Linked DNA regions of Bombyx mori. The protein of the gene in region 1 interacts with the protein of each later gene in a biochemical or structural test. Links are inferred from orthologs where the notes say so. Each region holds a gene or a part of one and is shown on either strand. Other genes may lie near its edges.

What was found.
Region 2: the proteins of transmembrane trafficking protein precursor (region 1) and COPZ form a complex in vitro, tested with the Homo sapiens proteins (2 studies listed by BioGRID, with this or other methods). The link is inferred for Bombyx mori from reciprocal best matches to the Homo sapiens genes TMED10 and COPZ1.

What each region holds. Positions count from the first base shown.
Region 1 is NC_085131.1:11,844,080-11,848,698, reverse strand, and holds the start of transmembrane trafficking protein precursor, read left to right. Parts: upstream 1-1,810; 5' UTR 1,811-1,937; coding exon 1,938-2,114; intron 2,115-2,353; coding exon 2,354-2,474; intron 2,475-4,455; coding exon 4,456-4,526; intron 4,527-4,619. UniProt on the Homo sapiens protein: Cargo receptor involved in protein vesicular trafficking and quality control in the endoplasmic reticulum (ER) and Golgi.
Region 2 is NC_085108.1:4,788,664-4,793,055, forward strand, and holds the start of COPZ (nonclathrin coat protein zeta 1-COP), read left to right. Parts: upstream 1-1,274; 5' UTR 1,275-1,393; coding exon 1,394-1,426; intron 1,427-2,812; coding exon 2,813-2,958; intron 2,959-3,402; coding exon 3,403-3,502; intron 3,503-4,392. UniProt on the Homo sapiens protein: The coatomer is a cytosolic protein complex that binds to dilysine motifs and reversibly associates with Golgi non-clathrin-coated vesicles, which further mediate biosynthetic protein transport from the ER, via the Golgi up to the trans Golgi network.

The DNA.
Region 1 (4,619 bases):
GAAGAGACATAGTCGCGGTCTGAAAATGAAATTTTACAATTTTAGTATTTTTCTGTTATATATCACCAGACATGCCCTATGGTTTCACCCTTGTTATACTAATATTTTAGAAATGTTAAACACATATTTTACCGAGGTAAAGATTTTTTGGAACCCAATCCCCTGGTAAGGTTTTGGTAAAATCACAAACTATGAATTTTCATATCTTATTAATTACAATTGAATATAAACAGCATTGTTCAGGTTATGTTGTTATTATGATAAAAAAATTGTTATAAACTATTTAAATATGTGAAATTTATTTGAGTAATTTTTGAGTGATCGCATAAACAATATCCAAACTTATAAACTTTCACATTCATAATATTAATTGGTTGAAAACCTATAGAAAAATATAAGTAAGATATAATAATTATTTTTTTTAAACTCGTCATAATGAATTAAGGACTACGTTTTGCAAAGTTCATTCAGTATTATGTACACCATGTAATAACATCATTAGGAAAAGTATAGCTTGAAATAGAATGATAAAAGAACATGCTGCACTGACATCGCAAGATGTGGGATAATGGCAAGAATCACCCTATTTTCAAAATAATAGTTTCCGATTTTAATATAACTATTGTAAAATAAGTTTTTTATACAATTAGTAATGAGCAGTTGTATTATTATGGATTTGTTGTTGTCATCTTACAGATCCTTTACAATAAAAATCTTGTAAGGAAATCTATGGAGTATTTTATTTTAATTAACAGCTTGGATCCATTATTTTACTTTTATTTATTAATATCATAAAAGTTCCTTTATGTTTAAAATAAATCGTTATGGATCAATTAGTTAAGATGTAATTTTTAAAACTTTGCAAGATTATGTAAACTTACTTTTGCACAGATAGAAATGAGTACTCACCGAAATTACCTATATTTTAATGTGATTTACGGTCACTAAAGCATCGACGTACCGTACTTTCGGCAAATCATTTAATCAAGATCTGCACAAAACAATTTTCGAATTACAGAAATAAATTATGCATCTGTCAATCAGTCAGATGCAATTTATAATCTTCGCACTTTTATTTCACAACACAGCTATTCAAAGTCCCTTGAAAATTAATTAAGTAGTAGATATTGTAATAAGTTCTATTAAGTTGCGATTCTAAGCAATAATGGTTTCAAAAAAACTAATTTAAGGTTATTTCTTTAATTTCCTTGAAAATGCAAAATGCACTTTCGAATTCGACGAAACGCAGTAATCGCTTTATTGTGAACTGAATTAAATTTAGAATATCAGCTAACGCTGTCTCTTTCATCCATGAAGAGAAAATGTATTTATGTTCTTGTTTGCCATTTGTATTCAGCTATGATAGAAAGTTGGAAAATAACGTGCACCAATAAATGGAAATGGAACAAGCTTTTAAAAAATGGATTTCGAGAAATAGCTTGGCTGAATAAATTTAGATTCTATTTCCCACCTGAAAGTGTTTCGCAAAACATTGGGTTCAAATTAATTTAAATCAAATATGTATGTATGTATCACAAGACAAAAAATTAATATCGACTGATACTGATCACTGTTTTTCTGATACGATCAAAAAAATAGAAATTAAACTGTGAGTACTTATTAAACCTATTGTTCTAATAATATTAAAGCATTTATAATGTAAGTACCTACCTAGCAGTATGGGTATAAAACTGCTAAATCAAGTTCAAAGGAATGTAAAGAATCCATTCCACGCAGAATTTGCTAGAAGTCGCCGAAATGAAACCTGGCAACACAATTACATTTTTCAAAAAAAAAATAACCAAAAGGTCGACGACGTTAGCCAACTCATCGGTCTATTTGACGTAAAATTAGAGATTATGTTTGTTTTCCGGTCATAAATGTTATGAATTCGGCTTTATTTATTGCAAGATAGATAATATATAACCACAATAAACATGGAGGTACAATATCTCGTGTTGTTACTGAGCTTAATCTGGCATGGAACTGATGCGATTATGTGGAGCTTGGCGCCGAACACACACAAGTGTTTGAAAGAAGAATTACACGCCAACGTGTTAGTTGCAGGAGAATATGATGTGACAGAAATACAGGGGCAAAGAGTTGACTATATTGTGAGTATAATTTCTGACATAACCAAAAATGTTTGTAATATTCAAACGCCATGGCTTATGTACACCACTAGATATTTATCGTTTAGGATACAAACAAAAAATTTACAGAGAAATATTTGAAAATGAAAAAATGTAGGTACTACTTTTTTGAAAATAGACATTTTTTTTTGTAAACAGGAATAAACGAACAGTGTAACTCAAAAAAAAGACAGAAACAATAATGATTTCAATTATTACAGATTAAAGACTCGAAGGGGCACATCTTATCACAGAAAGATACAGTAACAAAGGGAAAGTTCTCATTCGTCACAGAGAATTATGATATGTTTGAAGTTTGCTTTATATCTAAAGTACCATCAGGTAATTTTATTTCGGAACTAACTGAATAATTCTTTAATATTTTAATTTTAATAAAGGTTCTTTAGATTAGTTTAGAAAGTACATAGAGATCAGCATAGAAAAGTAGGTCACAGTTTACTGCTACTTAATATACCTTCTGATGTTTTAAGTATTACGAGTCTAAGTAAAACACTAGTCTGCAAAGGCATTTGCTCAAATAGCCTTTCTGATGATCTACCCCGTAGATATTTTTAATAGACAGATTATAATGTTGAGCAGGAAAAGATTACTCTAGTTAGTACTATAGGACCAGTTAGTTATGATCGGCTGGTTACTTCAAAGTCCCAGCAATGCCAATGCTGTCATCTATCACCAAATCATATGACTATTTCAATGCAGTACTAACCAGGATGGTGGGCCCTTATGTGGACTGATAATACATCCTACCACTAGTAAAAAAACATATACAGCATAATTAACCATTAATTTAAATACCCTTTTCACCAGGGCTTGAAGGGTTTTCTTTTAATAATATTTGTGTTGATCGAAGTTATGTACACAAATAAACAAGAACCAACCCCATAATTTATAGGTGCAACAATGTTGTGTAAATCTGTGTAGGCCTCTCCTATCTCTTGTCCCTCAAAGCAATCAAGCCTTCTGATTTCACTAACAGAAGTCATAATCGAAATATGTTATTGGTATCCAAATCTAGCCTTGTTGCTGCTATTATTTCCCTTATAAAGGCATTGCATTGCAACTGCTATTATTTCCCTTCTAAATGCATTCTCAGGTCAGCTATTCTCTATCAGCAGTGAAGTTGATGAGATCAAATAGCTGTAATTGATACAAAAAAAATTAAAACAGAAAATCTATTGGCCATTTAGATCTCATTCTTGCAACACCTGATGTCTTATTGTGGGTAGCAAAGTGCTAGCCGGCTGTTCCAGATATAATTCATCATCATAATCAACAACGGCCCCCAGTCGTCCACTGCTGTACATAGGCCTCTCCCAATCCCCACCACTGAGCCCTTATATAATTCACTTAACTGATATAGTATAGAAAAGGTTTTTTTTTACTTAGCTGGGGACTATACTTTTAATACTGTATAAACTATTATATGTATGTATGTATATGTATATGTGATTTTGTATATATGTAGATATACTTTTTTTGTATGTATTCGTAACCTAATATAAATTTCATTGCACCTACCACTATTTACTCTGCACTACCTTTGGTTGACTGTTAGAGAATGCCTTAAGCATTAAGTCCGCCAATGTTAATTTTAATTAAAATACAAAATAAATAAATATACTTATACCCTACGTTCAAATTATAAAATGTTTGCTGTCTTGCCTTTTAAAGGTGATACTATTAGTTTATTGGTTTGCTATGCTATGATATGCAACTGAAAATTCGACAAGTGCAAAGAATAACATTGTAATTCAGTTTTAGGTAAATATGATTTACAATGTTATTTTTTCTATGTTTCAATATTATTTTATCCGAAGAAACATAATATAGCTAGCCAGTAATGTTATATTGTTTTTTATTGTCTATTTCTGAGCAGCCTCTTTCTGAGAAGGCTTTGGCTTTAAAACGAAACATCTTTAATTAATCAAAAACTTTTTATCTATTTATTTATGTAATGTAAGAGTTTGTCTGATATTGTGGGCTTGTTGATATCTATTGATCATCAAAAATCTGCTCTAGCCTATTCTTCTCCATCACAATCTCAGATTGTAGCTTTGAAACTGTTATGATTTTGTTGTTGTTGTGGCATTCATTTTATTATATACTGGGTTTTTCTTGATTCAAAATCGTCCATTCAAGTAGTTTTGTTAAAAATATTTGATTCTTCATATTTATGATGAATTACTTCACCTTTCGTCATTATGCATTGCAGTGTTTTCAGGTACTTAAATGAACTCTTCTCTGATGGTAGGTAGTGTCAATAGTAAGCCTGATTATTTAAATTTCTCATATATTTTTTCAGAAAGAAGAGGTATTCCACATCAAGTAAGCTTAGATATTAAAATCGGCATAGAAGCAAAGACTTATGAAGGGGTAAGTTAAAATATTAGTTAATCATGAAAGCAAAATATTTCCATTATTATAGTGTTCCATTATATATATAATTAAACAGAAGAAAATCATTGA
Region 2 (4,392 bases), on another chromosome or scaffold:
GTGAGCTCGCGGGGCTCAACCGGAGAGTTGCTAACACTGACCCTAGCAAGAGCAGTGCTTCGCAGAATCTACCATCGGATCGGAAACGCGACCCACTGAGAAGATCCGGCGAGAAACTCAGTGGGCTGTCTCTATGGGTTAGTTCGCTCGTCGAGCCCTTCGTCGCAGGCGACGGGTTCGACGAGGACGGTGACCGGTGCTTGTGGTGCCTAAAAGCATCGTTAATGGATCAGGAGGATCCGTAATGACGTGCTTTGGGCGACGTCGACGGTTTACCATTCGGTCTACTGGGTCGGGTATGTAGTTTCCAGCGGCTACGATGAGAGGGTTCTCATGTCGTGCCGCCTTCTCAAAATGGCGCAGCGATGCCGACTGTAGATACTTACTAAAAGAGTCGAGCTCCAGGTCATCGTGGAGATCCACGTTCCTCCGGAACCATGGCGCTCCGACGGCTATCCTGCAGAATCGGGATTGAATAACCTGAAGGGATTTCAAGTGGGTGCGGGCTACGTGAGCGAACACTACGCTTGCATACGTCATGACGGGCGAATGCTCTGCAACGTTACAAATGTAGGTACATCCACATTTACTTAATAATATTAAACAGTTTTTGGTAATATTGTGTGCTACAGTTTTGCCTTACACCAAAGATACACTGCGGTCGAATATATAATAGTCTCCACGAGACTCACTAGATGGCTCTTTTTGCTATTTCTGATAGTATGTAGATTTCTATGACAAAAAAATATCGGTAGAAACGCTGAATTTTCTTAAAGTACTAACATCTTTTGAATATACTTGCTTGTGTTCAGAATTTTAATTGAAATATATTTTTGTGCGTAAAGAAACAGATTCAGAAATTAAGGAGATGTTGTTCTCTGTACATAGCTTACTTAATTTCCCAGTATCATTATCAAATTCACACTTAAAAATTAATATTAACGCCCAAATTTTAAAAATAAAATATTTTTTCATATATATATTTTTTACTACAGTACATACATACGTTTCCTTAATTGTTTAAAAATAAATTGATACAAAGTTATTAGAAACGACTCATCCAAATCATTCAATCTCACATGCGCAAGAATGGAGGCATAATTTTACGATTCACTTATTAAATGCTTCTGTCTTTTATTTATTAATGTGTATGTAACAAGATTTCATATCATATTACTTTTTCCATAAAAAACCCAACTTGTCGACCCAACAATTCAAAAGATTTTGTAGCTTCCCTTTGCCTTTCCGAGTTGACAAAATGTGAATATTTCCAGATGTTCAGATGTCAAACTTAAACACGTCAACGCGGATGAGTTTGTCGCTGTTGGTTAATTAATGTGGAATTTTTAATTCTTTAAAATAATAATACAGTGAAAAATTATTAACCCACACAATGGTTCACACAACGATGGAAGGTTCTCTGTTCGTAAGTGATTTTCTAACTTCAAACAGATTTATTTTGCACTTTAAAAACATTTCAACCAAAACACAAGATAGAAGAATAGTGATACCTGTATCTTTTAGTAGTTAATACACAACGTGTTAGTACACCCATAAATGCAACCCACGGTTTCTCGCCGGATCTTCTCAGTGGGTCGCGTTCCCTATCCGGTGGTAGATTCTGTGTAGCACTGCTCTTACTAGGGCTAGTTGTTGGAGTTTGAATATAAATGTAATGGCAGGCAACACTTGACACATGATTACAGATTTCGAATATTAGAATTATTTTAAATGTTTAAAAAACAGATGATTGTATTCTCCTAAGAAAAAGTCGTACTTCTCATCTAGACACGGTCAGAACAACATGTAAGAGTTTTATAAAAAATATAAAGATAATAATTGTATAATGGTGTAAAAGTGTTCAAACTATATGCAATATAATTATAATGAAGCAGTGTGTTTTTAAATAGCCCCTCATCAACCTACAGAACCCAATCCCTCAAATTTAACCATCCAACACTAGTGTTAGCAAATTCTCTCAGGTTGAGCCAGTGTGCTCACTTACCCGTCTGGGCATAGCTTGAATAGCCCTCTAGGCTACTAGCGAATATTTAGGAGGCAGAATATAGTACAGGCAATGCTAGAGGAATGTATACTTGATAACTATCAAATCTGTAATCAGCAAACGTTAAAGCAAACAATGCATCAGAGTTAATTAACAATCACTTCACAATTAGCGGTAGGCAGCGGCTAGGCTCTGCCCCTGGCATTGCTGAAGTCCATGGGCGACGGTAACCACTCACCATCAGGTGGGCCGTATGCTCGTCTGCCTACAAAGTCAATAAAAAAAAAAAAAACACTAATAATCCTTACACCTTAAAATACTGTTATACTTTGTATTGGTCTGTTGATTGTAAAAACTAGAGCTAACCTGTCAACAGACCTGTCCCTTTTTAAAATAATAATCTCGTTATTATAAGGTGGTCTGAATATAAAAATGCTATTAATATTTAGACTTCTTCACTTTTAGGACCTTGAATAAATTATGCTCTAAATTTTAAGTCTGATAGAAACTTGATCCTTTAGGGATAATGATTAAGAGACTACAAAAAAACATATTTGGAAATGACCGGTGGAGCTCACGGACAACAGCAAGATTGCTGTGCCCTACCTCACGAGATGGGGTTGAAATCTTTATTTCTGAATTATATAACAGATCACTCACTCTCCAAATTGGAACCCATACTGCTTTCACAGCAAAGATAGCAAAAATACTTATTTCAAATTAGGTATTACTAAGGTATTAGGTATTTGTACACTTGTATGCTTGCCACACATCATTATGTAAATTTCAATGTTTTTCATGTTCTAGGAACCCACATTGTACATTGTCAAGGGGATGTGCATTTTGGACTATGAAGGAAACAGAATTTTGGCCAAATATTACGATAAAGACGTCCTACCCACAACTAAGGAGCAGAAGGCATTTGAGAAGAACTTGTTCAATAAGACTCACAGGTCAATATTAACTACATGACACTAAAACTAACATAATTTCTCAATTGGAATATAATTATAATTATATAAACGAATATTAATATTTTGGCTTGTCTGGAAAACTTCTTATAATGTAACTCTCACCAATGACAAGCCATAAACTAACTATCCATCTCAAGTTGTAGAATCAGTATATAATTTCTTTTTATATTAAAAGTTATAGGGTAATCTCATTAAGTTTGAGCCCCGTGAGCTCACTTACTCACCTGGATAATCTAGTATAACCCCTCAAGTTTACTAGAATAGGTAGGGAAAAAAACTTAGGGCAATCATGATAATTCATAGATAAAAATTATTTTAAGTTAACAATAATTAAACTGGAACAATGCTGTAAATATTTTAAGAAAATTATGGATATTTTAATAAATATTTTTTAAAACTAGTTTTTTTTATATATGTTTACAGAGCAAATGCAGAAATCATAATGCTGGATGGTCTTACTTGTGTTTATAAAAGTAACGTAGATTTATTCTTCTATGTTATGGGAAGCTCCCATGAAAATGAGGTATGATGTGTTCCATAATTTTCTTTTCTTTGTCAAGCTGTTACAATAACCACAATACTTTTAACTTTGTCTTAGGTTTTATTATTATTATTTCCCCAACCTATCCTAACGCCTTGAGAGGCTATTTCAGCTTCACCTTAACATGTAGATGAGCTCACGGGGCTCAAACTGGAAGTGTTGCTAACATTGGTCCTAGCAAGGGCAGTGCTTCGCAGAAGGCGACGTCGACAGATTTTATTATCGGTCTTTGATCATAGAATGAAAAAGCCATGAAAAAGCTTCGTAAAATCACAGTCAAGATTGTCACAGTCTCTGTTAATAAATAGATATAAAATGATTACTAAATAAGATAAAGTTTTTTTATTACTGAAAACAAATGACACAGTCATTCTGCTCTAATTTAGCATTCCCTGTGTTATGGGTACCAGAGATTCCCAACCCACTGAGTTTCTCGCCGGATCTTCTCAGCGGGCCGCCATTCCGATCCGGTAGTAGATTCAGTGAAGCACTGCTTTTGCCACAGCTAGTGTTAGCAATTCTCCCAGGTTGAGCCCGTGAGTTCACCTACCAGTCTACGCGAAGTTAGCCCCTTAGGCTACCAATGATTAGGTAGGAAAAAATAACAAAGAAAATCAAGAAAAACAAAACCAGAGACTGATAAACATACTTAAATATGTTTAAATAAATACACATATATATGATAAACGCCTAGAAAATGAACCGACAAACCTGTTCATCATACAATGTTTGCCCAATAAAAGGATTGAACTGTCGATTATAAGCCCTATAGTCAAAGGCACTAACTAGTGCACTACCAAGTCAGTCACAAAGCTTTAGATACTAGAAAGTTATTAGTAAAGAAGAAAAATTTTCTTATAAGAACGCCAAAA